4 linked regions of the Rhinolophus ferrumequinum genome follow. The protein of the gene in region 1 purifies or fractionates together with the protein of each later gene. This does not show direct contact. Links are inferred from orthologs where the notes say so. Each region holds a gene or a part of one and is shown on either strand. Other genes may lie near its edges. The genes, in order: MYH9, USP11, ENKUR and SPTAN1.

Region 1 (7,024 bases):
AAGGCTCATCAAGGGTTAAGGCCGGGAGGCAGAGACTCTGGGGCTGCACAAAGAGAAATTGCACTTCCTGCCCCTGCGGGCAGAGATGCTGTTTTATGCTCAGCAAATTAGGATGTTTGTTTAATTAAGACGACACACAGATTTTGTTATTCTAAATATTTCTGGAACACGATGCTTGGGAGGAAGCTGTTAAAGCAAGGGTTTTTTTTCCCCCTTTGCTTTGGGTTTCTGTCTCCCCCTCCAAGAGAAGGGTAGGGCCCGCCTCCGAGGGAAACAACAGCCAACCCCTCCTCTCCTTTTGAAATAAAGATGTCAAGCTGGTAAGGGCTGTCTTAAGCACTTTACTGAAGGATTAGCTACAAGAGGAAGTGAAGAAAGCTCAGCTCGCCTGGTTTCTAGCAATACCCTACCAGGCTACACAACAATGCTGCATTTTTTGAATGTGCTTTTCTCCTTTTAAAAAGCTAACAGATCCTTGTTTTGTTTTTTCTGGAGCAAGAACAGGCGGAAAGGCAGGCTGTGATTAACATGCGACCTTCATCCTGCAAGAGGGAAGTTGTCCCATCTCCAGCCCCTTAGGTTAAAAAGTTTAAAAATAAAGAACAGAAAGCCGGGGCCCTGACCCTCTCTTTCCTCTCCCCTCATGCGCCCTTCTGACAAGCAGCCCCACAGAATACACCCCTCAGGCTGCCCCTCCCCAAGCAGAGCCTGCCAATGGGGCACCTGGATCTGCCCATAAGCACCGCCAGGACTTGCTGACAGTGAAGAGTAGAGCTCTTTGGTGTCACCCCGCAGACATCTGGGGGGCACAGCGGCTCTCAAATTACATCGAGCAATCTCTTGATGCTTTTAATTGCCCCTCAATTATCCACTAAATGAGTCCTCACTTTCCAACACCCAGTGCTTGCCCTCAGTTTGCCAAACTTGCAATGTGCAACTTCCTCGAAGCAGCTTCCCTCCTGGCCCCAGACAGAAGTGGCCCCTCTCCGGAATTCCTCGAGTCCTTTGTCTGTGGCATGCTTGGGACCCTCATCACAGGCTGCCTTTGTACTTCAGTCATTGGGCCACTATTTCCCCTTGAGGAATGTAAACTCTCGAGCCTCAGGATGGGCTGGCTCTTTTCTCCCAATCCCAACGACTCACAGTACCTTTCTGGGGTCTCTCTCATCTTCACCTCACAGGACAGTCATCTACAGATTTGTCTCCGCTCTCTCCTAAGCGTCCAAGGGCAGGGGCCAGGTCTTACTCAACCTCACACCCCCACCACCTGGCAGAGTCCCCAGCACCGAGAAGCCAGTTAAATATTTGCTCAGTTACACATCTGTGTACCCACCTCTCACCCCTAGCAGCCTGGTATATAAATTGACTAATATTAATCAAGCGATTGTCTAAACAGGCCTGAAAGCAGCCTCCCTCCTTCCCAAAAAGGAAGTCAGCCACCAGGTGAGTTACCAGGCGGGCCTCAGACAGTGGGGTGAGAAACGGCCACAGCATTGCAGGAAGCCCGTAGGGCTCTCTTCTCCCTCCAGTCACCCAAGTTCCTCTGAAACCCTGTAAAACCCAGGCCAGGGCGCAGTGGACCGCGAGCGGCCAGGCCTCTCGAGCGCCCCGAGGAGGACGCGCCGTCCCCAGGACGTGGGACTTCCCAGGAACCTTTCTCCTCACACGGGCTAGGTGGGGCCGCAGACAGCAGCCCTGGCACTCACCCTGCCGCCACCTCAAGACAGCCGGCAACCTTCTCCTCGTCCGTTTCCATGCGAAACGGTGGGGCTCGCTGGGGGGGGAGGGGCTGCGGTCCTGCCCTGGGGGTGGCCCCAGGACAGCACGGCGCGAGCACCCCCGCACAGGGAAGTGCGGGTGGGGGTGTAGAACACCCTGGATCGGGCCCACACAGCAACCATGCAACAGCCCAGGCCTCGTCCTCGAGGAGCAGCACCCAGCTCCCTCCACTCCCACCCGGGCCGGACGCCCCCAGGTGCGGCGCAATCAGGTGCGCGCCTGGACCCAGCCGATCGCTGCGGGCCCTCCTCTCGGGGCAGAAGTCAGAAGTCAAAGGTGGAAGGGTTGTGGGAGAGCGGGGGAGTCTGTCCTGCCTGGCGGCCCGGTCCCGCGGGGTCGCCCTTCCCCGCGCACCCCTCCGCACCTCTCTCGGTCCCCTCGCGCCCGCTCGCTCGCAGCCCAGCGAATGAGGAAGTCGGGAGCGGAGGGCGGAAACTGAGCCGAGTGCAATGTCTGCAGCAGATTGTCCGATTCTGACTCAGGAGGACGCCCTGACAGCTGCCAAACGGTCCCCGCCTGCCCGTTACCTCCGTTTCGAAAAGGCCTGGAAACTTCCAAAGCAGCCGGAGCCCCGTGCCCCCCACCTTGCCCCCACCCGTTTGGGTCGAAGGGACAGCGGCTCCCCGGAAGGGGTTAAAAAGTTTGCCCAACTTGGGAACTGGGCGAGGCGAGGGCGGGGCGCGTGCCCGGGCAGCAGGGGGAGGTCGAGGCTCCTGGGTGCCCCGCCGGAGGCGTGAGGCGGGCGGGGGTGGGGGAGACCGAGGGTTTCCGGGGAACGCTGGCCCCGAAGCCTTCCTCTGCTCCCCAAGGCCTCGCTTCCAGAGGCGCTTTCCCCGAGAGTCACGCAGGGGTCCCGGCGCCCCTCAGGGAAGGATGCGGTATCCCGGCCCAGCCCCGCCGCGTTAGCGCCGGACCGCGCCAGTAGCCGGCCGCGCGGAGGCCGAGAACCACACGTCGGTCGTTTCGCCCCACACGCCGCGAGTCCAGTAGCCGCCGCCCCCGCCGCCGCCCCCGCCCGCCTGCCCCGGGTTGGGACCGGCCGGTGGGGCTTGCTCACCTGAACCTGGATCTGCCCCGGGGAACAGGCGCTGCTTCTCCCGAGAGGGCTTTCTCGAGCGCTCTAGCGACGGCGGGGTGGGGCGAGCGCGCGAGGCGGGAGCTGCAGCAGGTCAACCTGGCTCAGCCTTCCGTGCCCTGCCCAGGAACCGCGGTGATCTGCGCGCCTCACCGCACCCAGCTCGGCTACTCGCCGCCTTCCCGCCCCGCCCTCTCAGCCGCTCGCCCATTCTCCGCGGCTCCGGGGCGGAGCCTGAAGGACGCCCCCGCCCCCTAGCTGTCTCACCCACTCCAGCTTGTTCCCACTCTTGATGGACAGATATGTTAGCCTGTAAAAAGGGATGGGCGGAGCCTATGGGCCCAAATAAGTGGGGATTCATCATCCCCCCACCACCACACTCTCCACCTTCCTCCGCGCTTCCTAGGCGGGAGCCCCGCCTCCTAGGGCGGGTCCAACGGACAGCCAGGTTCCAGGAGGACGATTGACACAGAGAAAGTCCAATGAGGAGGAGGAGGCTCGCAGGGATTTTTTTTTTTTTTTTTTTTTTTTTTGGTGCATTGCCTGGGCGGGGTCGAGGCCCGGCGGGAGTGGACTGGAAAGGTCCGGGATTCTGACACCCCGCCCCCGCGAGCTGTTTTCCCTGTCCAATGTCATCCTACCAGAACAGAAATTAAGTACCATATATGGGAAAAGTGCTATTTTACATAATTATTATGGCCTGTGGGGCGAACAAGGACTCTGCCCGGGATCCGTTGTGGAAGCCCTGAGTTCGATTCTATAGTGTGGGCACGCTGCCGTCTTTCAGCCTCCAAACCTTTGCTCAGACGGGTTCCCTCTGTCTGGAAGGCACCTCCAAGCCTCTCTTTACCTTCATGTGATTAACTCGCACACTTCCTTTTAGGTATTTGTTACAAAATGTTTTCTTGGTTTTTTTTTGTTTTTCAGGTAGGCAAAGAGTACTTTTTTTGTTGTTACTGCCCATTACAAAATTAATTTTTTTTTAATTTTTAAGAGAATTTTTATATTTATCTTTTAATTCACCTGGAATTTATTTTTATTTTGGAGTGAGGAGGAAATCGAATACAATATTTGCAACAGCCAGTTGTCCACACACCATTTTCTCCACTGATTTCAGGTACCACCTTCATCACCTATCCAACTCATACAGCATACGCTTCAATCTGTTTCTGAGTTGTATCCGTTGATCTTTCTGTGTGTTCCTGAGCCAGTTCCACAATACTTTGATGACAGTAGCTTTCTAATACATTTTATATCTAAGAGGGCAAATCTCTCATTACTCTTTCCTTTTGGACTCTCCTTCCTATGACGACTAAACTCTTCCAAATAAACTTCAGAAAAAGTTTATGACCTAAAGGCAAAAGAAAACTGGAAAAACATTTTGCTACGAAGAATTACTACCAACAATATATAAAAAGTTATTCTCAGTCCATAAGAAAAAGCCCAAATACTTCAAAATAAAAATGGCAAAAAAAAAAAAAGAAAGAAAAGAAAAAAGAAGGGAACAGGCAATTCAAAAAGAAGAAATCTAAACTGCCAATAACTATAAAAAAAGAAAAACAGTCATCAGAAATGCAAACAAAACGACATAGGATGCCATTTTTCACCTATCAACTTAAAAGAAAAGAATAAAAATGCCCACTGTTGGCCAGGTTTAGAGATATAGATGGGAAAGTAAATTAATCAATTTTCTTTTAGAATCCATCAATAAAAAATTGGAAAAGTGCACAGATATGGGTTTAAAAGTTCTTTTCAACATTGTTGATAGTCATTAAATTTTATAAGTGTACAATAGATTGATTAAATAAATTTTGATACATCCATATGTTGAAAAATACCCAGAAATTCATTAAAATTTTAATGCAGATTTGTATTTACTGATTTAAACTATACTAAGCAAAAGCAAATTTTAGAATGCTATTGTAGCAGGATTTAATTTATTTTTGTGTACTCTGTGTGTGTCTGAGAGAGAGCGCGTGAGAAGTTGAAAAGGCTTTATAACAGTGTAAATAGGGCAGAAGAATTGTGACTGATTTTTTCTTTTGCTTATCTGTATTTCTATCATATATGTCTTACACAATTTTTCCAAAAATGGAAGAAAAACACTCACTTCAATGTCACCTCTTCCAAAATGTCTTCCCCGACCCTCCAGGGATCCAGAACTAACAGGAGGCTTGGCATAGAATGGTCCTTAGTGAACGCTTCAGCAGGACTCAGAGAGTACCTGTTTCCTTATCTTCAAAATGGGCGTAATCACCAGGCCTTGCCCAGCCCTCAGGACTGTTGGGAAGAGCCCAGAGACTTGGACCTGAAAGCAGTGTGCACTACGACAGAGCATTATCTTCTTGTTCTTGTTGTTGTTGTTAGTACTCAACAGAGTGTTATGGAGAACAATCATTTCCATTTTCTTCAGGAGCCCCAGCCTCCTAGCACCACCCTCTTCCAGGGAAATGAGGTCACTAAGAAGATGGAAGTCCTCTGTTGCCCGGGCCCTGAATTCTCTCCTTGCCATCCACTAGCCTAGATGCATCCATAACTAAGAAAGCCCTCCTACTTGCTGTCCAGCCTCACCATTCCCCCATCTCCCAAGAACCTGCACCCTTGATAGTGTCTATTCTTGTAATAGTTTAAAAAATATTTCATCTATTTTGTCTGAGTGTTAAAATAGTATTATGGTTGGTATAGAAAATACTAAAAAGAAAGAAAATAAAAATCTCCCAAACCTTACCACCACAATATAAAAATTATTAACAGTTTGTTATTTCCTTCAAATCTTTATATAACCATATTTAAAATAAAATTATACAGTCACCTGATTTATTATAAAGGTGCCCCTGCAAATAAGTATGGAAAAGATGGGTTTTTTTTGTTTGTTTGTTTTTAAAGATTTTATTGGGGAAGGGGAACAGGACTTTATTGGGGAATAGTGTGTACTTCCAGGCCTGTTTTCCAAGTCAAGTTGTTGTCCTTTCAATCTTAGTTGTGGAGGGTGCCGTTCAGCTTCAAGTTGTTGTCCTTTCAGTCTTAGTTGTGGAGGGCGCAGCTCAGCTCCAGGTCCAGTTGCCGTTGCTAGTTGCAGGGGGCACAGCCCACCATCCTTTGTGGGAGTTGAACTGGCAACCTTGTGGTTGAGAGGATGCACTCCAACCAACTGAGCCATCAGGGAGCTCAGCGGCAGCTCAGCTCAAGGTGCCTTGTTTAATCTTAGTTGCAGGGGGCGGAGCCCACCATCCCTTGAGGGAGTCGATGAATTGAACTGGCAACCTTGTGGTTGAGAGCCTACTGGCCCATGTGGGAATCGAACCGGCAGCCTTCGGAGTTAGGAGCATGGAGCTCCACCCGCCTGAGCCACCGGGCCGGCCCAAGATGGTCTTTTTAATGAATGATGCTAGGTAAACTGCACAACCACATGTGGAAACATGAATCTTGACCTCTACCCTCATACCACTGACGGAAATAGTTTACGATGGATCAGAGATATAAATGTGAAAAGTAAACAATAAAACTTCTAGAAGAAAGCATAGGAGAATATTTTCATGACCTTGAAGTAGACAAAAAATTCTTAAACAAGACCCCAAAAGTGTAAACCATAAGAGACGATTGTTAAGTTGAACTTAATGAAAATTAAGAACTCTGCTCATCAGAAGGCACATTTTAAGCAAGTGAAAAATCAAACCGCAGCCTGGGAGAAAATGCTTATAATACATAGATATAACAAAGGACACATATCTAGAATTTATCAAGATCACCTACGTTAACAAAAAGACAATCCAATTGTTTTAATGCACAAAGATTTGAATGAGCACTGTATAAAATAGAATATCTAATTAGCCAGTAAGCAAAAGAAAAAAGTGCTAAACATCATTAGTTATTAGAGAATGCAAATTAAAACCACAAAGAGATAGCACTATCCCCAACCAGAATGACTAAAATTAAGATATTATGTGTTGGCAAGAATGGGGAGCTACTGGAACTTTCATAAATTGCTTTCTACAACCACTTTGGGAAAGTGTTAATCCGTGTGGCTACTAAAGTTGAATATACGTGTAATTCCCTATGATCCAGCAATTCTACTCTTTTTTTTTTTAAACTTTTATTTATTTGTGTTTTTCCAGGACCCATCAGCTCCAAGTCAAGTAGTTGTTTCAATCTAGTTGTGGAGGGCGCAGC
Region 2 (7,243 bases), on another chromosome or scaffold:
GGAGGGATGCCATACCCCTCACAGGGCAGCCCCCAACTGCATCCTCCCTGCTTGCCACCTGCCTGACTCATGCTCACCTGCCCACATGTCCCCTGCTGCCTGTCCAAACACCCGATCATTGGCCTGTCAACCCACCCATTGGCCTGTCTGCTGGGTGCTAACAAAGCTCTCAATGCTCCTTCGCCTGGTCTGTTTGTCTCTTTCTCTCTGTCTCAGTAGTTGCCGGCGGACAGCATGGCCGTGCCAGCCTCCCACATTGAGGCCAGGCCTGTACCCCTCCTCATCATGCCCTCCCCCAGGACCACTCACTACCCCTTGGCTAGCCAGGGGGCCAGAGCTAGCCCAGGCAGGGGTTCTCGACTCAGACAAGGTGTGGCGATGCCTTGGGTCTGAGACTGTCCCTGCCTGCTTTCCTGCCTGCCCCACCTGCCTCATGTTTTGTGGGCCGTTTGTTTGTTTGTTTGTTTGTTTCATTCATTGTTTTTTAATTATTTTAAATGAGGTTTTCATTTTTTAAATGCAATATCTCTGTATACAGACTGGCTGGGCCCCACCCCCTGCGTGTGGCCCTTCCACAGTATTTTGTGCAATGAAGCCCCACTCCCAGCCTTTCCAAGGCAGGGACACAGCCCCTATTCAAAACCCTGACCATCACCAGACCCTGGGGTCGGCTAAGGGAAAGCATGCCTCAACTACTCGCCTTCCGACCCCCGCCGGCCATCCCCAGCCACAGGGGTACCTGGGCCCTACTGGAGACTCTGGGAGATGGACAAGGTGGGGGCCCCCACTCTTTCCCTCTTGCAGTCCCACAGCTGGGGTCTCTTTCCTTCTCAGGGTCTCCCTAGCCCAGCCCTCCTGCTCCCATCCCACTCGGTGCTGTTGAGTAGGGGCCCTGCCGGGAACTGACCAACTCAGTGAGGAGCCATAGTGTATATGTGCACAGGCAGGGACAGGGGGGCAAAAGGGGGGGTTGTGCCCAGGCGTTAGCCCCTAACCCCTGGGGAGGGTGAGGCAGGGCAGGGACAGTCTCTGGGGTCAGTCCCAGATGGGTGGTTACCTCCCCTTCCTCCACTCTAAACCCTGGGTCCCTCAAATGGGGTGGGAGGGCAGGGGTGGGTGCCCTCCTAGTGGGGTTTGGGGGGTTGGGTTCCTGAATGCACCATAATCGCTGTATGAAATATTAAAAAGTCTAAAGTGAAAAACGTGATTGAAAATCCCTACAGGGGTGAGGGTGGGCTTGACCCAGGGTGAGTGCTGGGACCACGGTGAATTCATACCTGGTCCCCGTAGTGTAGGAGAACACGGGGAGTGGGCCAGGGACACGTCACAGCTATGAAAAAAGCATCAGGGTTTGCACACACACCGGTGGAACACTGAAGCAGGTAAGGCAGGCTGGATAGAGGATGGGCTAAGAATCAAGCAGACAGAGGAGTTGGATTTACCCAAGAATATGAGGAAGCCAGCTAGAGGGTAGAGACGGGAAGGTGTAGGGAGGCTGTTTGGAAAATACATGAAAGGCCCACAAAACCAGGAGGTGGGGAGATGAGGCAGCAAGGCCCAGTATGACCACCACGTGTCTCACTGGGACACCATAAGGCAGGCCAGTTGGAGAAGGAATATGAGAAGAGGATGGATTTTGGACCACTGAGGGGGTAGGGGAATCCTATAATACATGGATTAAAATCAGGAGTGAGTCCATCAATGGAACTTGAAGTTTGGATCATTAGTGTCTAGGAAGTAATGAAAACCACGGTGAGACGTGGGTGAGATAACCCTGGGAAGGATGCAGTCATTTGTGAGAGGCCACAGGTCGAATGGCACAACCTGGGACTTTGCCTAAAGTGTGAGGGTAGCCGAGGCTTTCATTCTCTTTGTCCTGAGAGTTCTAGCCCCTGTCCCACCGTTTTGGGCAAAGCCAAGAATCGACTTCCAAGCAGAAGAGATGGGGTGGGCAAGGCCAGGTAAACAGTGCAGGTAATAGCAAGTCTAACTATGCTGGTTACGGAAATCCAGCGGCAGGGGCCCAAGGGCCTCTAATCATTACACTGTGTTCCTGTATGCACTTTGGTTATATCTCAGCTTGCAGCCTCACGGTTCCGTGATGGCTGTCATGGCCCCAGAGGTGGGAAAGCAAGCAGGCAAAACAGGGCACCCTCCCTCCCTGTCTGTTTCCTTGTAACAAATAGGGCTGCAACTTCCTGTGCCATCTCTTGGCTAGAACAAGATAAGGAAGTTGTCCCCCTTCCTGGAGCAAGGGAGGCTGGAAAAATGAAGACCTTGCAAAGGGGGACAAGATTGCCAGGCCAGCCTTAGAAAGGCTAGAATTCACACAACTGCTCTGGGAAGTGGTAGGGTCACCGGTGTGGGCAGAGGTGGGCTTCTGGAAGGTGCAGAGAATGAGTCCAGCCCTGGGGAGGGAAACCTTTTGGACTGTAGGAAGGACTGGCCACCCAGGTAAATGGGGAGGAGGAGTCTGCAGAGGGGCAATGGGAGAGCAGCTGGGCTTGAAAAGCAATGAGCAATGTGCTATGTGCCAAACCCAACCTGAATGCCGCTATGGGGACCCCCAGGTGAAAGGGCTGCTCCCTTTTCTTCCTCAGAGATTATGCAGCTGAGTTGTTACCCTCATCCGTGCCAGGTCTGGGCTGGGGTCTGGAATCAGTAATAAAGACAACCCCTGCCCCACAGAGGTAAATTATGAGATCGTGTATGTGGGGCGGGTTGAAATTGTGCACAGAGAAGGTATTCTGGACACTCCAGGCCCAGGGACCTGTGTGCATGCATGGGCCTAGAGGTGTGGAGAGGCGAGGTGTGTTCTTGCCTGTGGGACGGGGTGGTGAAGTGAAAGAAGTCACTGAAACAGACCCAGGATCGTGAGCCTGTCCTGGGGAGTTTGTGGGATGGTCAGATGGGGATAACCAAAATACAAGTATGTAGATGCAGGGAACCAGAGGGAGATACTACTGTTATCACCAATAGGGAGGGTGGGGAGCCCTAGCAGAGAAAAGAATGGCATAACCTAGTGCAATGATTCTGAATCGGAGATAATCCTGCCCTGCCCCCAGGGGACTTTTGGCAATGTCTGGAGACACTTTTGGTTGTCCCAACTGGGAGGCGCTAACGGTATGTATAGTGGGAAGAGGCCAGGGATGCAGTGCAACATCCTGCACTACTTCCCAAAACAGAAATGCCAACAGTGCGGAGATTGAGAAACCCTGGCCTAGTGTAACGGTTCTGAAACTTTTGGTCTCAAGCCTTTTATATTCTTTAAAGTTGAGGACAGCCAGAAAGCTTTTGCTTTTGTCACAAAGCCTCTGAAAACTTCCACCACACGTGCAAGAGAGAATGACAATAAAAAAAGTATTATGAAACTATTTTTGACTTTGTGAACCCCCTAAAGGGCCTCCTGAACGGATTGAAGCCTAGGAACACAGTTTAAGTATCTCCAGCCTGGTGTTTAAGGTCACAGCTCGAACTGGAATTCCTTTATTCAAACCACAGCTCAGCCACTTACTGGCTGGAGCAAAGTGAAGTAACATTTCTGGTCCTCAGCTTGCTCCACTGTTGCCCATGGGCGACTGATATCTGCTGCCTAAGGCTACCATTTACTGCAATAAAGCACTTAAGGCTGTTACTAGTTATCATTGCTGTAACTCCGATAAATACACAGGGCCTGGGGCTGACTTCCATTCAACACGGTTATGGAGAGAACAAACCTAGTTCAGACAGGGAAGCAGTCCGCAGGCCTGGGTGGCGCTGTGGAGGTGGTGACCTCTTTCGCATTGGATTTTGATAGACGAGAAGTGTAGTGCATTGAAAGAAGGGCATCCTGGTCCGGCTAACAAAAACGCCGCTCCCAGGGTAGGGACCCGCGGTCCCCAGCAGAGAACCGAAAAGACCTGGTACCTTTGTGTGTCCTCGAGCACTCCCCAGTATGTCCTCGTCTACCTCGGGGACCTCTGCCTCCACCCTCCACACAACCATTTGCAGGGACTCAACATGGCGTTAGGATCCCACAAGGCACCTTTGTCTCTCTTAGCTCCCAACTGGAGGTTTTACCCCGCCTATTAGTCTGAAACATCACCACCCACGGTCCAATGCCGGCCTAGCGCTTGGACGTGTCCCACCGTGGTGCCCATTTCCAAGATTGTAGGAGCCCCCGGCTAGTTGGGGGGCTCCGCTTCCGTTTCCGGGCCAGAATCCGGAAGTGCCAATTGAGGGGGACTCCTCTATGCCCCTGCGAGGGCTGTAAGAGGAGGACGAACGGCGATGGCGGCGGTCGCAGCGAATCCTTCGGCTACGGCCGAGGACCCAGAGCCACAGCGCGAAGCGGTGCCGGGCCTAGAGAGCCAGCGGCGCCAGATTGAGAACGTCGAGAGTGGGCGAGAGCGTCCACTACGGGCCGGCGAAAGCTGGTAAGACTGGGCTGCAAGCGGAGCCTTGGCTAAAGGGATAGTGGGGGTGTTGGTGATGGTGGAGAACTTGGCGCCCAGGTCCGCAGTTCGGTGGGGGCGGGGGTGTGGCCTGTGGCCTGTGGGACGGAGAACGAGCGGGGCAGAGGGGCGGGGAAGTGCCTGTGAGTGATCGCTTGGTCTGGGAAAGAGGCGTGGCCCGGGGGTGGAGCCTAAAGCCTGAGAACCAGATGGGGTTTGTTATGGAGAGGTAGGGGGCGGGGCCTGATAAGAAACGGCCTTGGGGGTGGGCCTGGTCCTCCGTAGAGGAACTTGGAACCTGGGAAGGAGGCGGTCCGGCGGCGGTTGGGGGCGTGGTTTGCGTGGAGTCACGTAAATCTGGGGGCGGGGGCGGTTGCTCCACGGAGCCTGAGAACGAGGCAAGGCGGTGACGTCAGGGAGAAGAGCGAAATCCGAGCTGTGGGCGGGAGAGCGGGGCTCGCGCCTGGTAACGAAGTACGTGACGTGCGCCGAGGGGCGTGTCCTGAGGCTAAGGAAAGACTGCGGCAGAGGGGAGGTGTTGCTAGTGAAGCAGAAAATGGCGCCGGCGAGTGAGCGAAGTTTGTGACGCGGCGAGGTTTTTGCTTTCGGACGAGGCCTTCCCAGGTCGGAAGAAAGTGCAGGTGATTGGCGCGGGAGGGACCTTCGATGTTATATTTGGTTTCTGTTTTAGTACTGTTATTTTTTTGTCTTCAGGGAAAAAAAAGCGCTATTTTTAAAATGTTAATGAGTATCTCGATAAATAGGGTTGTTTTTTACTGATTTCATGGCTAACCAGTGCGTGAAATCTACTGTTTCTGAGTTCAGTTTCTTTTTTGCCGAATTGTATCTCCTTTTTTAAATTATGAAATACGTAAGCCTTAAGCAAATTGTATAAAACGTTTAACGTAGCCCAAATCGATGGACATTCTATAAAAGTAAACGGCCGTTTTGAATAAACGGCTATTCAAAAATTTCAAGGTCGTGAAAGACAAAAGATGAACTGTTCCAGATTGAAGGAATTAATGGGATTTAACAAGTTAATGGTAACTAAATGAAACGTGCGATCCTGGATTGGATCCCGGAGCAGAAAAAATAAATAATTGAAAAATGAGGCTTTTTTTCCTCATAAAATTAATTTTCTCTTCTTTACTGTAAAAGATGTTAATGGGAAAACTGGTGAAATTTGACTAGGTCTGTAGATTCGATATTAGGACCGCTAATTTCTGGCTTTTGGTAATTGTGTTGTGGTTGTGAAAGAGAATATCTTTGTTTGAAGGAAGAACATGCCGGAATATTTAGGGGTAAAGAATCATCAGCTTACTCTCAAATGGTTGAAAAAATAGGGTATATAAAACTGTATTTAAAGAAACAATGGTCGAGCAAATGGGTAAAATGTTAAATTTGGTCTTCTGGATGGCGGGCATCCGTGAAGTCTTTGTATTACTTTTGCAGTTATTCGGAGTCTGTTTCAAAGTAAAAAAAAAAAAACAAAGAACAATAAAACAAAAATTTGTGAATTCACCACTCGGGTTAAGATTCAGACGGTTACCTTAAGAAAGCCTTCTGTGCCCCTCCCAGATGAAAATTCAGGAAACTGTTATCCTGAATTTTTAATTTTGGTAAATGTTTTTCCACCACTGTATGCATCCAAAAATAGTGTTTGTGGTCTAAGCTTTAATTTTCCTGGAGAATATATATGAAACCATATTGGATGTATACCGTGTACATTGTATCAGGTGGTACATGGTATCCACATGACGTCGTTTGTGACGTTAGCCTTGATCACGTAGTGAAGGTGATATCTGCTCGGTTTCTCCACGGTAAAGGTACTATTTTTCTCTTTCCATGCACAGTAATTCTTTCAAAAACATAATCTATGTCCATCTGTACCTCAAAACATTTTAGCAGCTTCCCACCTCTTGCAGTGTAAATGGTAAAATTGTTAGTGGCTTGCAAGGCTTTATGATTGTGAGGCTGGTCCCCAGCTCTGATTTCTCCTCAGATCTGATTACCCTCCCCCTCACCTTCTCCAACCGGCCATATTGGACTCTTGCTGTTCCTCTAAGGCCACGAGCGGGCTCCCACCTCATGGCCTTTACAGGGAGGTCTGCCCATCTTACAGAGATCTTTAATCACGGAACTGGTAAAATATATATATTCCTGTTACTGGAGAGACACGGTTGAGATTCCCTAAATCCGCAATACGGAACCAAACACTTTTTTACACCGTTAAGCTATGGCTCTCCAAGGAAAAGCCTCAGTCCATCCTGAGAATAAACAACAATAACTGGAACGTCTTTATGGCCCGTTTAGAGGTGTTCAGGGTTTCCTTTTCGGGGGGATTGAAAATGTTTTGGAACTAAATAGAGGTTGTGGTGGCACAACATTGTGAATGTACTAAATGCCACTGAATTGTTCGTTTTTAAAATGGTTCGTTTTCTGTTAATTTAATTTTTTGTGTGTTATATCAGTAAAAAAGTTAACCCACCAATGTTGGTTCAGTATTGAAGCCAGTTTATCTCTGCTACTGTGGATAATATCAAGAAGCGTTTTTCCTTAACTCCATTTTTTTATATGCTTATCTATTTAGGTAAGAGCAAAGCATCTCAAGGTTCTTTAATTTGCCGCCTATTTTCTAGGGGTTTGCTACAGTGGTCAGGAAATTTGTGTTTAAAGCATTTTGAAGTCATGAACTAACCCCAAAATCATATACCTCGTATCAATATTAATATTTGCACCTTCTGTCTTTTGTCAGCTGGTAGATCTGGGTAAGGGCAATTGATTTAATTTCTAGGAGAAGCTAATATTTT
Region 3 (7,889 bases), on another chromosome or scaffold:
TATTGGAGTCATAAATCAGGCAAATACCTTGACATAATAATATGTATCTTGGTGTTAGGAAAGCCTCTTATTAAATTCTTACTGATAAGGTAGAAAACATGAACTGATTAATGGATGCATTTGGACGACTGACTGAACCCCAAAAAACATTATTCCTGTCAGCCTAGAAAGAAGTGTCTACCAAAGTGCAAAGTACTTGCCTTGTTCAATGATGGATGGAGATATAAACGACATACTTATTAGATTTGCAAATGACACACAGCTGGGACGGATGGTTAAGAGGGTGTATGAAAAATTCAAAACTATCTCCATAGATTAATGATGACTTTAGATCAAAAAGAATCAGCTACACAATTATAAAATGGGAGGGACCAAACTTAGTCATAATTTATGTGGGGATTTCAATGTGGAACAATGGTGAGACATGACTGTCAAAATGCTACTAACCCATCAATAAAAGTATTGTGTATCAAGAAGATAATGGTTCTATGGGCTGTTCAGACCATATCTGGAACATTGCCTTAAACAAAAGGAAAAGAGAGAATGATTGGAGATATTAATAATTGGAGCCATCAATAGAAGAGTGACAAATTTGGTGAAGATCTTGGAAACCACCTCATGTATCATGAGCAACTGAAATTTTGAAAACTGATTCATGGCTTCCCATTGACTTGTATCTTAAGTCCCAGCTCATCTCCAAAAGGTTGCTTCCTCCTCCACTTTGGTTACATATATCTATCTCATTTATTAATAGTATCTGTATTTCTTATTAGGGTTTTCAATAATATATGGTTTTATTATTAATCAATGATTTAATATTTGTTTCATTTGCCCAAGGAGGCTGTAACCTCTGAGGTATGGGAGATCACAGTGCAGTCAATTGCTGATTTCTCCAAAGAATCCATCTCTTTATGAAAGCCGGACAATCAACTTGCCAGTCTTGCAAAGAGCTGCAGTGAGCTTTCTTGATGCTGGGTTTGTAATTCAGTGACGCAAATAAGCCTCATAGCTTAATACATTTCTTATAATTAATTCTTACTATTAGTAAGGGGATTGGGTAAAGGCAAGTTTGTGTTAGTGTGGTGAGAAAGAATTGCTTAAATGTTTTATCATGCTCTGTTTTTATAAGTTAGTAGTTTGCATGCATGACATGGAAACTCTTTAATCTTGTCAAATTAAAAACTCCTCATGCTTTTGCTGACGGAGTCGGCTGACTTTAACCTGACAGTGTTCTGTAGCACCACATGTGTATGCATTCTATTCCCTTCACCACAAATTCCTTTTTCCTACTCATTACTTCAGAGTAACCCAAGGAGTTTGTGTTGTCACTCCAATATTCCCCAAGAATATTCCCCAATGGCAATATTATACACATAATAGGAGCTCAGTTAATGCTTGTCAAATGAATAGAGATTGTTCCTATAAAATTTCTTGAAAAAAAAATCACCTAGATGCATAGTAAAGCTTTTTTACCAATGAACAGAACACCTAATAAAATATCATACCATTCAAATTCAGTACTCTACAGAAAATACAATCTGCTGGTGTGTTACAAAGAGGAAGAGCTTTATATTCTACAATAGACTGGAATTTTTTATCAAAGTCCATTCAGCAATAGTTAATTTGAACACTCCTCATAAAATCTGTAACTGTATCATATCTTACTTTGCATTCTCCTTTCCAATCTCTACTAGATTTTGAGAAGCTCATGTAAAACAATGTATGTATTGCTCTGGTTAAAACATGGATACTCAGCCTTAAATTGGAAGGATTTGCCCACTTGTTGAAGACGTTCTGCACCCCCCATAATTATTAGTAAAAATAATTGACCATTAGATCTGAAAGGGGCTTTAAAGATTATCTAGTTCATTTAGTTTGTTTCACAGATCAGAAAATAAAAATTTATTCATGATCCCAAAACCTATTAGTTGCAGTGCCTGTTTTTTGTTTTGTTTTGTTTTTTGCCCAGTTGTGATTTTGACTTGAATCAGGAAAAAGGAGTTTCTCCCCATAGATTTAAATAAGTTCTAAGTTCCTGCAAAGCAGAGTAACAGGAATGTTTACTTTGTGGTGACTTTTTTGAAATTTGGGGAATTTAAGAGGTCCTAACACCTATGTAAAATTTTTAACTCAAGGACATATTTTTGGTTCTCTATCGATCCACTCTTCCTTCCATCCAAGTATTAGACCTGAAAAAGACCTTAGAAACTATCTAGTCTATTTTGTTTCACTGATCAAAAAACTGAGGCTCAGAAACAAATTTATATTTGACAATAATCTTGGGGAAAAAAATAAGTACTATCCTTTCAGAAAAGGAGTAGTGTAATCTGAGGCAAAACAATGAACTCTTGAAACCAAATATCAAGTATCCTAACACAGGACAATAAAATTGTGATGTTCTCTTTTCAACAAGAAATTTCACGCTATGTTGTATACCAACCACAGTACGTACGAACAATTAGATAAATTACAAAACAGTTACATACCGGACTACAGGAGACTAACAAAAAAATGGCCCTCTCACAGCACTGGATCGCCCTTTGAATTGTGAGGTGCTAAATACCTAGATTTTGCAACCTCTCCTTTAAGAAGTTTCCATTCAAGGCAACTTGATCAAGACAAAAATATTTTTTATTTCTTTTTAAAAGTCATGTGATCCTTAGTTAATCCTGAAATGGAACAGTTATTCCCCATTCTTGTTTCAAGCAATAATTTGGCTTACCCACATACCTAGGAGGCTGGGGAGGCTCCTTCCAGTCAATGGGTATGAGGTTATAAATGCTCTCAGAAGAGCATGTTGAATCCATGGCCACCAAACGACTCCTCAAAATATTCAACTTTTTCTCACAATACCAATATCTCCGTCTCTTTTTTCACTGTTTCCCCTTTCCTTTCCTACTCTCTTGCGTTCTCAAGGAACTAAGGTTTCTCTTTCACATAATTCCCCTTTGACCTCTTCTTAGCGGTCCTCTCTTGGGAAGAAGATACTTTTCTATTCCTCTTGGGGTTGCTTAGCGTTGTTGACGGCGCAGTTGCCGTGGAAACAGTTACTAGGCGACGGTGAAGTGGTTAGCAACACTACAAACTAGGTTTCCTCTCTTCGCTGCAGCTCCATCTTCTGCCAGAAAAGTTCAATATGGAGACCACTGTTTATGCGTCTTTGGGAATAATGGGGTGAAAAATGGGGTCCCTTAAAAATGTTGCTCTTTTCTGTCTGTATATTTGAAGAGAAAGAAAAACTATTACTGGCACAGGCGAAGCGCAGCGTGCGTGCACGCGTCACACAATAAGGCTCTAGTGCGCAGGCCCCAACTCTGGCGGGGGCGGGGCCAGCGACTGTTGCCACGCTAACGCACGAAAAACGTCGAGAGCGGGACGAACGAGGGGAGGAGTCCGAGGAGCCGAGAAGACCCAGGTAGGTGGAGCGCCAGACAAGAGTTCTGTGCCCATTGCGGGGCTGCTGTGGCCGTGGGTGTGGCGCGCGGGCGCGTAGGGCCGCATCGGCCCACACTAGCGCAGGCGCAGAGGCCACAGCGCGTGGGTGGGGCGGGCCTAGCGAGGGTTGCGACCTGAGCTGTGGGCGAGCTGGGGCGAGAGCCAGACGTGCGGGGTTCGATCCCAACGCGACATTGGCTGCTCCTGGACACCCTCCCATTTCTTTTCCTTTCCCCCGTCTTCTCAGTGTGATTTTCTAGGTGAGTTATTTTAGGAGAAAGAAAGGGAGACTATAGAAACCAGGGCGTTCCCATCTCATGCCTTTCCCCTCTTCGTGCTGTCCCCTTTCCGCTACTCGGTTGTCATCTTAACTCTGTCTGCGCTCATTTCCCGGTCGCTCCGTCCCAGCCTGCTCGGAACTCGCTGTGCGCCCACCTTCCGCTGTTCTTCCCGTCCACCTGTCGCTCCCGGGTTCTCCTCTGGGCCTCCGGCTTTCTCTTGCGCTTCGCCGGTCCTCTGCTCTCCTTTGTGTACCCCTCTGGATCGGTCCCCTCCTCTTAGGTCTTCATCCATGGATATGTGGACTTTGTTTCTTAAACGAGCAGCTTTAAACCAGAAGAAGCTTTTTATATGGGCCCTTTAATTTTTACCCTTTCTCACTCTTTCTCTTTTTTTTTTTCTGGTGTCCGTTTTTGAAAATTGTCTTTCTGAGAAGCTGTTTTATTCCGTTCTCAGCCCATTTGGTATTTCATAAACTTGTTTATACACGTTATGACTGCTGAGAGAAGCGCATTTAAAAGCCTTTGCCATCCCGAGTCTCTAAAGACATTTTGGCAATACGATCTGGGAAGGAAGATAGCTGGTTCTGAACCAACCTTACAGTAGCCTCTCTGCCCAAAGGGAATGAAGAAGCTTGAAGATGGGAGAGAACGCCAGTTTTGGTCACCTGGCAGCCGGGGTGCTCGGTGGAGAGATTAAAACAGCATGGTTGCTTGGTTAACTTTTTAGTTCCTACTTAAAAGGCTATGCGGAATGTGTAGGTCCTTATCATTCCTTTTCCAGTTGATGAGATTTTAAATTTTATACCAGGCGTTTAACAAATATTTTATTTCAGATCAGTGACACCTTGGGAATGTTTCTCTTTTTCACCAGATTTTCTAGTCAAAATATGTATATACAGATTTGCCCTTTTTTGTCTCCCGTTTGAGTATTTCTGGTTTCGGTTTTTTGGTTTTTTTGTTTTTTAGTATTTTTTGTTGTTTTTTTTTCCAGAGAGAGAACAGAATTTTTCTCTGTACATGCCAAGATTTGAACTAAGGACTCAGAATGATATCATTAGCCAAGTGTATAGTCATTAGCCAAAATTTCTACATTTTGTAATTAAAAGGAATCCTTTGGGACTATTTGTGTTAATCAGTTCCTAAAAGATCCAGTTAGGCAAAGAAAAAAGGCATGATTCTCCACTTAGTAAGCACCAACTGGCTAGTCTTGACTTTCTGGTGTTTATGAATACAGTATTTTCACTGATGTCAGTATATTACTGTGGTTTTAAAAATAGTAAACAGAATTTAAGACCTCACTATGGTACATTTAGATTACAGTTATGAAGAAGTTGTTAAGTCATTTGGAAGGGAACGCTTTTTTTCTTAGATACTTGGTCTGTAATTCTGTTTGTCTGTTGAAAGCATGTTTACAAACAATAAGTTTCTAATTTTTATAATTCATTCAAGAGGGAAATACTATTCAGGGAAATGCCTGTGTCTGGTATGTCCATAGGGAATTAATATTGGTATACCATTAAAGGTTGTGAATTTTTTCTGTAAAGGGCTAGATAATAAATATTTTAGGCCTTTGCACGCCACATGGTTTCTGTTGCAACTACTCAGCTCTACCATTGTAGCTCAAAAGCAGCCAAAGACAATACTAAACAAGTGAACAAATGAATGAGTAAAGTTGTGTTCCTGCGAAACTTAATTTACAAAAGGGTAGTTGACCAGATTTGTCCTGTGGCTTGGTAGTTTGCACAGACCCCTGCTGTAAATGGTTGCACATACAAAGTAGGATTTTTGCTAAAGATTATTTTTATCTACTGAGATGAATAAAATGAGAGTAGGTGGGAAATACAAATAAGACAATTGGGAGGAAAATAAACCCTTTATAAAGCCAGATATACTTTACAATATTTTTCCAAGTCATAGTACTGAAAAGTGTACTTAAAAAGTCTTGAATTAAATACTCAAGACTACTAAGAGGATATCTAACAGCAAATGTAAACAACAGGAAATGCTTAGTCAACTTGATACAAGCAAAGATGAGTGGTGAACTTTTAAATTATGCTTTTCATTGTAAGATCCCTGTGATTACAACATGCCATTGGGGTGTGTGGTCCTTCCACCCTCTCCACATCACTGTTTCCAAGGAAGTAGGAGCAAACTGACTGAAGGATTTTTGTTCAGTAGTCAGAAGCAGCAGAATTTTACCTCCCCCTGCCTATTTTGTCCTAGTATATTTGTATTTTTTCTTATTACTGTATTTTGCCATGTAAAATGTGCACTTTGTTGCCCAAATTGTGAGGGAAAAATAATGATGCGCATTATACATAGGTAGTACTAATTCCGTATCTGTATAACTGTTTTAAATTCTTTTATTTATGCGTATGAGTTAGAAGTGTCACTGTAGAAATCAATAATGGTAGCTGTATGCAGAATAATACCCTGGAAAACGATAATTGGTTATATTGAACTTATGATGAACTTGCAATGATGAAGAGTTCTTGGCCTTCTGGGTTGTGTAAATATCATAAATTTGTTACTGGTACAAACATTTCTTGTATGTTGTATCTGTTCTTGTGTTTTGTAATTATTTGTTACACAAAATTTCTTATACCATAATGTATCAACAAATAAATGTAAAATTCCTTTATAATACAGAAAACAAGTACCTAAATATAAACAAAAATTTGAATTAAAAAATTAAAACGAAAGACTTTTTTCCTTGAAAGTTTGGGCCAAGAACGTGGTTGCACATTATACATGGCAAAATATGGTACTTATTGGAAAACAATTTTTTTTTAAATTTACTGGGGTGACAATTGTTAGTAAAGTTACATAGGTTTTAGGGAAAACAATTTTTAAGAATTTTTTAAAACCTCAGAATATCTTCATTAGATAATGGACTAGATTTAGTCATTAGTCTGAGAAATTTATATAGAGATTTCATTAATATAGATGACAAGCATAATCCCGGCATAGTATTTTCATAAGGTCATTGAACTATATAGCCAATTATGAAATAATTTTTGAAGTGCTGTCTTATGTTTTATTTCAGAAGAGTATGCAATAAATATTTTAAATGGATGACAAATTGCTGCAATGTTTTGACTTAAGTAATATTTTGACAATTTCTCAGAGGAATTGGAAACTAAGTAATTTTTATAATGGATTGAAAAATTCTTCTGGATCATTTTGAAAGTAAAAATTGGTAACAGGTTGAATATAAGTTTGGTTGTTATCAATCATCTAGTGGTAAACTTAGGAAAACATAGGTTCCTGCAAATTAATGTATATTTCTGGTTTAAAAATGTAACTTTATTAGCGTTCATAGGAAATGATTTAAAAAGTGATTTCTGTACTTTATTTCCCTTGAATTCTTAATTCGGTTTTGATCAGCTTATCACAATAAAATTGTTAAGTTTTATGCCTTGGGGTCACACAGTATTTGAATTAATATGTACATGTAGACATTCTGATTTTGTTTTTTTTGAAGTTCTTGCTGTGATACTGACACATCACTACCTTTTTATCTATTTGAATGACATGTCTTTTATGTCTAAAAAGTATCCATTGGAATTAGTGGTTCAAAAAGCCCCACGATAAGTGATCAGTAGGAAAACCTATTTGAAAATTATCAATGTATAATGGATTTGTGTAGATCTTCCATTCTCTTAGGAGTTAGTATAACTAAAATATTTTTGTGTAGAACTTGACTCTACAAAAAATATTTGAGAACATTAATGATACAGTGAAACCTGAATACTTTATCGCCAAGAGATGTTGTGTTTAAGTTCTGTTTTTGTTTTTTGACTCTTGTGATTGACTTCCATTTAATTTGAACTAGTTTTGTCCTTTGGCTGAAGAAAAATTGCCTATCTATGACCATTATACTGAAAAACATACTAAAATACAAAATGAAAAATGTCTAGTAACATGGCTTTGAATCATAAAGGGAAATGATATGCAGTCAATCCTCACTTTTCACAGATTTCATATTTGTGAATTCTAGTTGCTAAAATTTACTGTTAATCCCAAATTAATATTTACAGCACTTTTGCAGTCATTCATGGATGTGTGCACAGTAGTGAAAAATTTGAGTTGTCTGATGTGCATGTTCCAAGCTGAGGTCAAACAGGGTGATACTCTGCCTTCTTGTTTCAGGTCTCATACTGTAAACAAATG
Region 4 (7,150 bases), on another chromosome or scaffold:
TAAGATTATCTGTAAAGAGCTCCCCCCACCCTTAACCTGATATGGAGCTGTCTCTAGTTTATCTACACAAGTTCCAGTTTCTTTTTGCTCCCAAAAGGGCCATTTCCATAGACTACATTAAACACAGGAAAAAGTCTCATATCACTAAAACCAACTGCCACCCAAAGGTGTTCCAAACTCTCACCCAAAACTGTGAGACAGTGAGCAGGATCCCTTGGACCCTGCCTGTATGCACCACCTTCTTCCATGACTGCCTGAAATATGTAGCTGACTGATAAGGCAGACTCCACAGAGAATGTTCCAGGCTGTACCCAGCCTTAATGAGATTAGCACGTTTGAAGAGCTAGAAAGGAGTACTTTGGGAAAAGTGCCACCAAAAAACAATCTCCAACCAGCCTATCTGTCTAGTCCACTAACGGCCTGAAACCCACAGGAGCTGACTTCCTGGGACTGCAATCAACTGACTGCTTATCTGAAAGCAGCCGATCAGCTCTGATTTTGCCAGTCAAGTCTATGTACACAGAGAAAGGAGTGGAAATGAAGTGCTGAATGTATTCTTTGTATGTTTAAGGACAGCTTCCCATTTAAGGTAACCAAAGGAAAAGGTCCCATTTTTGCAAAGACTGTCAGAGAAGGCTGAAGATGCAGGCTAGTTATAAACGCTGCAATGCAGCAGTCAAAACGCTGGCTGCCTCATTCAGCAAGTCATGTGAACTGGATCTCGGGGGATAAAACAGGAATCACCACCATGTCCTCTACAGTAATAAATAAAAGGAACTTGTCAGGTCTTACAATACTGCTAGATCTCTGGGAAGAAAGCGTGGGGGTCTAAACAAACATAGGAATCTTAGCTAGAAAGTTCTACCTTAATCCAAAGATATAACATGCCTGCGAATGACTCGTCATATCCAAAACACATTCATACACAATACCGACTGAAAATGGAGTCTCACTAAAGAGGCTAGCCATTAATTGTATCTTTGTCTTCTCGACAAATGCCACGAGATAGCTGTTTGAGGCAGCCCTTGGTACTTGGCAATTTTTAAACACCTTAACCTAATCTACAGAAGCTGTATGTGCCACTGTGCTAGGGGCTGTGTCTACCTTTGGAGGGCAGGAAGAGGCAGCGGGTGGGTGAGAAGAACTCTGTGTTAAGCAACAGAGAGGACTGCAGAAACAAACATTTTCAAGCCAAAGGTCAAATGCTTTGGACTCTGCAAACTTAGTGCCTGCCGTGAGTGGCTTAGGACACCCTCACACTGATCTGGGAGAGTGGAAGAATCCAGCAATTTCTCTACGGGACCTCGGAAGAGAATAAAATTATAGTGACTATGAAAGGAGTGACTATTTACAACAAAGCATTGGGGCCACTGTCACTTCAACAGGCTGAACGTGCCATATGGAAGACATTTGGACTACTACAAAAGGAATTCCGATTGCAGGCAGGACACCAGATATATTGTTTTGCAAGGAAAGGGATTTTACAGAGTAACAGGATGCAGAGATCATTTGGCTCTATGGAAAAATTCATAAACATCACCCAAAGCAAAAGGTCACAGAAACTATTCATTAGTTTTGTTTTTGTTGCTTAGTCAGAGCCCAAAGGTGCAGAACTGGCAAATGCCTTTCTTCCATGGCTTAGAAAGCCAACCTATCACCATCTCTCACATGTCCAAAGCAAGAGAAGTGTACATCCATGGATGTGGAAAAGCTCCCCCAGAACAAACACCAAAGAACTTGGTCAGCACCTATAAAAACTTTATATCAATGGATTCTCAGATCAAATGAATTAACGCAAAACCAGCTTAGCTGCAGATTCTCCTGGCAGTTCTGCTGGTAAGCAGAAGTAAATATTACATCAAGTAACAGTTTAACAATGAACACTTTTTTTTTTTTTTTTGCTGAAACCACATTCCAATCGGGATTGTGGATTTGCATGTCAGCCTTCAAACTGATGAATTCATTTGAACGTGTTAGCCGGATTCTGCAGAGGTGAGCAGGGACTTAGCTTTGGAGAGAGGTCTTGTACTGCATTGCATCAAAACTCAGAAACGCAGAGCGGCGCTGCTCGTACATACGTCCACAGCCCCCCAAATACTGTCTGGCTGCTACTTACCGGTCAACCTGTAAAATTCAGATGAGAGGTATTTTGAGTGCAAAACACTGTTACTGAGAGTCAAAACGAGAAAGTCATGAAGTGGCCCATTTTTATAAACCTCCTTTAAATAATTAACCAGTCTGAGTTATAAAAGGGCCTGCCTTGGATTTATCACCCATAATCACTAAGAATTCACAAAGTTTGTATTTCTCCTTATGAAATATCAAGACATTAATTTTAAGCATTTTTCTTTTTGAAGGTCCAATTTAGCAAACACACAAAAATTGTACACAAATAAAACAGATATATAGTGAGCTTTTTTTAAAAAAAAAAAATGTAAGCTCCATTTCATCACAGGGATTGTGGCAGAAAAACTAAGTCAAAGGGAACAGGAAACAAACCCAAGTTTACAATATTTGTCAAACTTAAAAGTACTATTTTTACTGCATGTTTTCAAATTATTTTTTCCAAATATCTAAGATAATCTGTTTACTCCCTTGGTTCTTAAGAACCAAGTAACTATCAAAAAAAAAAAAAAATCAGCAAACACTACATGCAAATACCGGTAGCGTAGTAAGAAATGAATATATCCATGCCTTAAAGAGAGGAAGGTAAAAAACAGGAGGCTTTGGAAATTTTAGAATTGACTAAGATTTCTGTTCATGTAACACCAAAAAAAAAAAACAACCAAACAAAAAAAAAAACCACAAAAAAATAAACCCTAACAGTAACCTTAATAGGAAAGTCATGCAGGCAAGGTTTTTTGCCCCCTCTCTTTGAATCATTCAACCTCTTGGACACAAAGGTGTCTTCACCGCAAACCAGGCAAAACTGAAAAGATCGCATTTCCTGCATGCTGGTCAAATAAATACCTGGATTCTGCGTTTACGAAACGATGACAACATGATGGAGGAATGTGGAGTCTAAAGAGGGAGGGGGAGAGCAAGATAACAAGCTTCTAAGGGCACGGCACAAAAGAACTTCAAAATGAAAAAAGCAGATCCTTAAAAATATATGAACACAGCTAAAAATCCAATTTCACATATGTCCCCGGTGCCTTCTGAATCTTCCAAGGGCGTTACAAAGTGGAAAGAGAACCGAGGTTATCTAGTCTTAACAGTTCCGATCTAGATGTGCTCCCACGCCAAGTCACCCCCCTCCCTTTGAGTCTGTTTCCCCACTTTTCAAATAAAGTAATGATACTGAATATACTTTTTAACACTAACCATCTCGATGAATTAACTGAGATTTCCAGGACTAGGTGACTCCTAAGTCTCCTTCCCTTCAGTAATAAAACAGCATGATGTGATGAAATCATCAGAAACAAGAAAGAACTCAAGGTGCAAAAGATCTGACTTGGGCCTAGGTTACTGGTACACTTCCTCTACAAAATACCATTTCCTGTATAAAACCAGTACAAGAGGAATATGCAAAAAAGGTGGGAGGGAGGTACCAGCGCAGCTGCGTTCCTCCTGCATTCCTGGAGTCAGCATTTGCCATGAGGGCGCTGCATTCTTCCACCTACACCCACCACAGCTGACAGACCTCGGCAGACCCAGCTGCACAACTAGTGGAGTCCTCGCATAGCCCACCAAGGGAGGACTAGTGAGGAGGCAGGTCCCGTGCCTACTGTCCTTAGTGCAGATTCAGGGATGACAGCACTATTCCTAACAGCCACTTCTCAGGGTCCGCAGTGGGCCCCTCCCTTTGAGATGAAGGCAGGTAAGGAAAAGGAGAGAAAATTCTAACCCAGGGAACCAAAACATATGCTTAAAAGACAGCTCTCCCCATCTAAACCTGTTCATCAGATTGCCTGGAGTGCTCATATTAGAGCCTGTCGACAGATGACATTTCCCCAGTTATTAGATTACTAAACAACACACAGCCACAGACCAACAGCGTATCAGAGAATGTTACTGAGCTGAGGGTTAAGGCTAAGAACTGCTTCACACCTGTCAGTACAGAGCAAATCCTCCTTTGGAGTCTGTGTCTCTCCTCTAGGTCCCTGGGTAACAGCTAGCACACTTTGAGGGTCCCTTTGAGTAATTACTGGCCCAGTTACTAAAAAAGGCTTATTGTTAATTTCCTGCACAGAGGCCCTTACTGCAGCTCAATTCCCCCCACACACAGCACATTTTTCAAATTGTGACTTCAATTTAACCTTTCAAAATCTGAGACATTAATTGTAACAAAAGGGAAGAGAAACGACTAGTTTTGTGGAGTTGGAACCTTGGCTCAATGGTTTCATACAGCTGAGTGTTCCCACTGCTAGTCTTAAGAATTTTGTTTCTTGGCTGCAAGACACCCCCACCCTGCCATCTTTGATACATTCTGTTTTAGTCAAGTCCAATTGCTATGACGACGCAATTTCTCAACACATTATGAAAATATTTCATATGGTCTCTCTTCTATTCCTCCCTAACAGCCATGATATTAAGTTTTTCTAAAATACCATGATGAAGACAGAACAAAGGGCCTACAGATTTCAGAATCTATTATATAAAATAGATGTAATAAGGTGTTGCAGCAGTTCAAGCATCATCTCAACCCAGCTTTCTGGTCTATTCAGGCGTTTAATTTAAAACATATTCAACCCTTAACCTTAACAAGCCCTTTATTTAAAATATATTGTATCTCAGTACATCAAAGAGACTTTTAAAAGCAATTTCTCTGGAAAGCATCTAATCAAATTCGCGAACGGCTTTCAAACAAAAGGCTGCTCTATCATTCAACACCGGCATGGCTGTGGAATTTTTGACAAATAATATACTGTCCTCGACTGGAAAGATCCGTTCTCGGGGGAAAAAAAGAGGTACTAAATTATTTGATTTGGGTCTCACAAAAAACAAACGCCGCAGCTACCTGTTATTTACAAGCAAATCACGACTAAGTAGGAAAGAAATGTTTATTATAGGAAAGCAAAGGAGATGGCCAGCCAGCCTCGGATCTTTCCTTGTCTAGAGAGAAGGCCAAGAAAAGGCCAACCAAGACGAAATGAACGTCAAAGAGCCCTTTACCCAAGCTCTCGGCGCTTCCTCCTTCACGGGTTAAGCCGGCATTGCTCGTAGGGATTTAGGAAAAGGAGGGGCAAAAGTTGCTCCCCACCAAGGGAAGGGATTGGGGGCGGTGGGGGGAGCGCTCAGCTTGGAGGAGGGTGGTGACGATCCCGACAAGGGAGCCCCCGCCCCACCTGCCGCAATCGGATGGGACAGGGCGCGGCCGCCGCGAGGCTGGGGCGGGGGGGCGGGGGGGAGCCAGCGGCCTCGCCACCCCCTCCGCCCAGTCAATGACATTCCAGCCACCGGCGCCCAGCCCCGGCCCGGCGGCTCCTCCACAGCCCACGCGCCATAAGCCGGTCGCGACCGGCTCGCCCGGCTCCCCGCCCGACGGAGGGAACGGCGAGGCCCGCCCGGCTCACCTGTCCGCGGCTGGCCCCGCCCCTCCCCGGGGGCGATCCGGCTACCCGCCCAGGGGTCGGCTGCTCTCGGGCCCCGCTTCCGCCCGCGCTCCCCCTCTCTCCCTCTCACCGGCTCCTGGGGGTGAGGGCAGTGATATGTGGGGCTGGGGTGGGTGCTGAGGGACCGACGCGCCTTCGCGGCCTCCGCTCCTCGCAGTTCGCTCCGCAGCGGGTAGTGGCGGCGACGCGCGCGCCCCACCTCTTTTATAGGCGGCCACGCGCGTTCCGGCGGCCGGCGGGTGCGAGCGCGGGGGAAGTGCCCCCCCGCGGCGCTAGGGGCGGGGGCGAACGCCGGTGGAGCAAAGGGGGCGGAGCTCCCTCCGTCTCGCCTCCCGAGCGCACGGCGAAAAAGGCCGAGCGTTCCCGACCGGAGACGAAGCGGCGGTGCTGGGGAAGGGTCGATTGCAGGGGCGCCGCGCGGGATGGGGAAGTAGGGCGCGCGCCAGAGATGGGGGTCGGTGGTGCAGTGGAGTCTCTGCCTCCGCCCGGGCGGGCCGAGTTGCTGCAGCCGCCCCGCCCTCCCCGCAGCTCGGATTCTCCAATCCTGCCCCTCCCCGCCCTGCACTGACTCTTCTGCACCCTGCCCCTCCACCCCTCCGCCCGTGGGAGCCCTTCCAGGACTGCAGCGAAGGGCGGGGCAGGATCCATCGCTGCAGCCCGGCTGGGATGCTGCGCGTCCCGGCCGGAAAAACGCCCAGTCTCAAAGAATGAGATCACCGTGTGCTTCTCTTCCTTCTGACCACTTTCCCTGGGAGAAGGCTGGGGCCAGGGACCTAAGTCAGTCTACGCCGGTGGCGGCTGGGGTCAGAAACCGAGGATGATTTGGGGGCTCCGGGTTTGAGGAGGTGGTAGGAAAAGGCCAAAACCGATCATAAAAAATAAAGTCGACTGATTTGGAATTTAAGTCTGTCGTTCTGGGATTTTGAGGGTAATTTCTTATATTCTCAACAAAAGCTTTCTCACAAATCGCCAGTGAAATAGGATGCACCACTTTTATTTTCTAAACAAGATATGGTTCTTCCTGTCTCAATTAATTGAATGTTCCTCACGTACCAGGCACTATGCTAAGCATTTCATGTGTGACCTTTTTTTTTAATCTTTGCAATAATTTTATGACGTATTATTTCCCCATTTTACAGATGAGCATTCTAACATGGAAGCTAGGTGTCTTGCCTATGGTCAGGCAGCTAGCAAGAAGAAAAGCTAGGATTTGAATCAAGCAGTCAGAACCTTCTCTTAAACAGTATGCTATACTGCCTTCCTAGAGGAAAGGGAAGCGTTGTGATGGTGGGTGCTGGGGTGCTGAGAAAAGAAAAATAAGATTTCTGGAATTTCTGTTCTCAACAGTCCTAGCAGTTTGAGGGCCTGGCTCTAAACTCAGTATCCAGAGCCCTGGCTTAGGACGCCCTTTCCCCACCCCCACTCGGGTGACAGCTGGGCCACAGCCATTGGTAGTAACACCCAGATCATTCCTGTGCAGTCAGGCAGACCAGGAACTCTGCAGCTCAGGAAGGCGTCAGCCTCCTGGTTACCAAGCAGCCCTACTCTTTAAATAAATATAAAGGCACTGGGCACTGCACCAGAACTTGGGCCCG

What was found.
Region 2: the proteins of MYH9 (region 1) and USP11 purify together in Homo sapiens (affinity purification with mass spectrometry; 3 studies listed by BioGRID, with this or other methods). This does not show direct contact. The link is inferred for Rhinolophus ferrumequinum from reciprocal best matches to the Homo sapiens genes MYH9 and USP11.
Region 3: the proteins of MYH9 (region 1) and ENKUR purify together in Homo sapiens (affinity purification with western blotting; 4 studies listed by BioGRID, with this or other methods). This does not show direct contact. The link is inferred for Rhinolophus ferrumequinum from reciprocal best matches to the Homo sapiens genes MYH9 and ENKUR.
Region 4: the proteins of MYH9 (region 1) and SPTAN1 fractionate together in Homo sapiens (co-fractionation; 3 studies listed by BioGRID and IntAct, with this or other methods). This does not show direct contact. The link is inferred for Rhinolophus ferrumequinum from reciprocal best matches to the Homo sapiens genes MYH9 and SPTAN1.

What each region holds. Positions count from the first base shown.
Region 1 is NC_046293.1:10,281,542-10,288,565, reverse strand, and holds the start of MYH9 (myosin-9), read right to left. Parts: upstream 3,021-7,024; 5' UTR 2,837-3,020; intron 2,252-2,836; exon of another isoform or gene 2,144-2,251; intron 1-2,143. UniProt on the Homo sapiens protein: Cellular myosin that appears to play a role in cytokinesis, cell shape, and specialized functions such as secretion and capping. Required for cortical actin clearance prior to oocyte exocytosis. Promotes cell motility in conjunction with S100A4.
Region 2 is NC_046284.1:86,668,965-86,676,207, reverse strand, and holds the start of USP11 (ubiquitin carboxyl-terminal hydrolase 11), read left to right. Parts: upstream 1-4,221; 5' UTR 4,222-4,269; coding exon 4,270-4,415; intron 4,416-4,924; exon of another isoform or gene 4,925-5,074; intron 5,075-7,243. Other genes in the region: CDK16 (cyclin-dependent kinase 16), read left to right, coding at 217-260.
Region 3 is NW_022680355.1:9,631,705-9,639,593, forward strand, and holds the start of ENKUR (enkurin), read right to left. Parts: upstream 3,021-7,889; 5' UTR 2,808-3,020; coding exon 2,731-2,807; intron 1-2,730. UniProt on the Homo sapiens protein: Adapter that functions to localize a calcium-sensitive signal transduction machinery in sperm to a calcium-permeable ion channel.
Region 4 is NC_046295.1:77,360,373-77,367,522, reverse strand, and holds the start of SPTAN1 (spectrin alpha chain, non-erythrocytic 1), read right to left. Parts: upstream 3,019-7,150; 5' UTR 3,004-3,018; coding exon 2,971-3,003; intron 1-2,970. UniProt on the Homo sapiens protein: Fodrin, which seems to be involved in secretion, interacts with calmodulin in a calcium-dependent manner and is thus candidate for the calcium-dependent movement of the cytoskeleton at the membrane.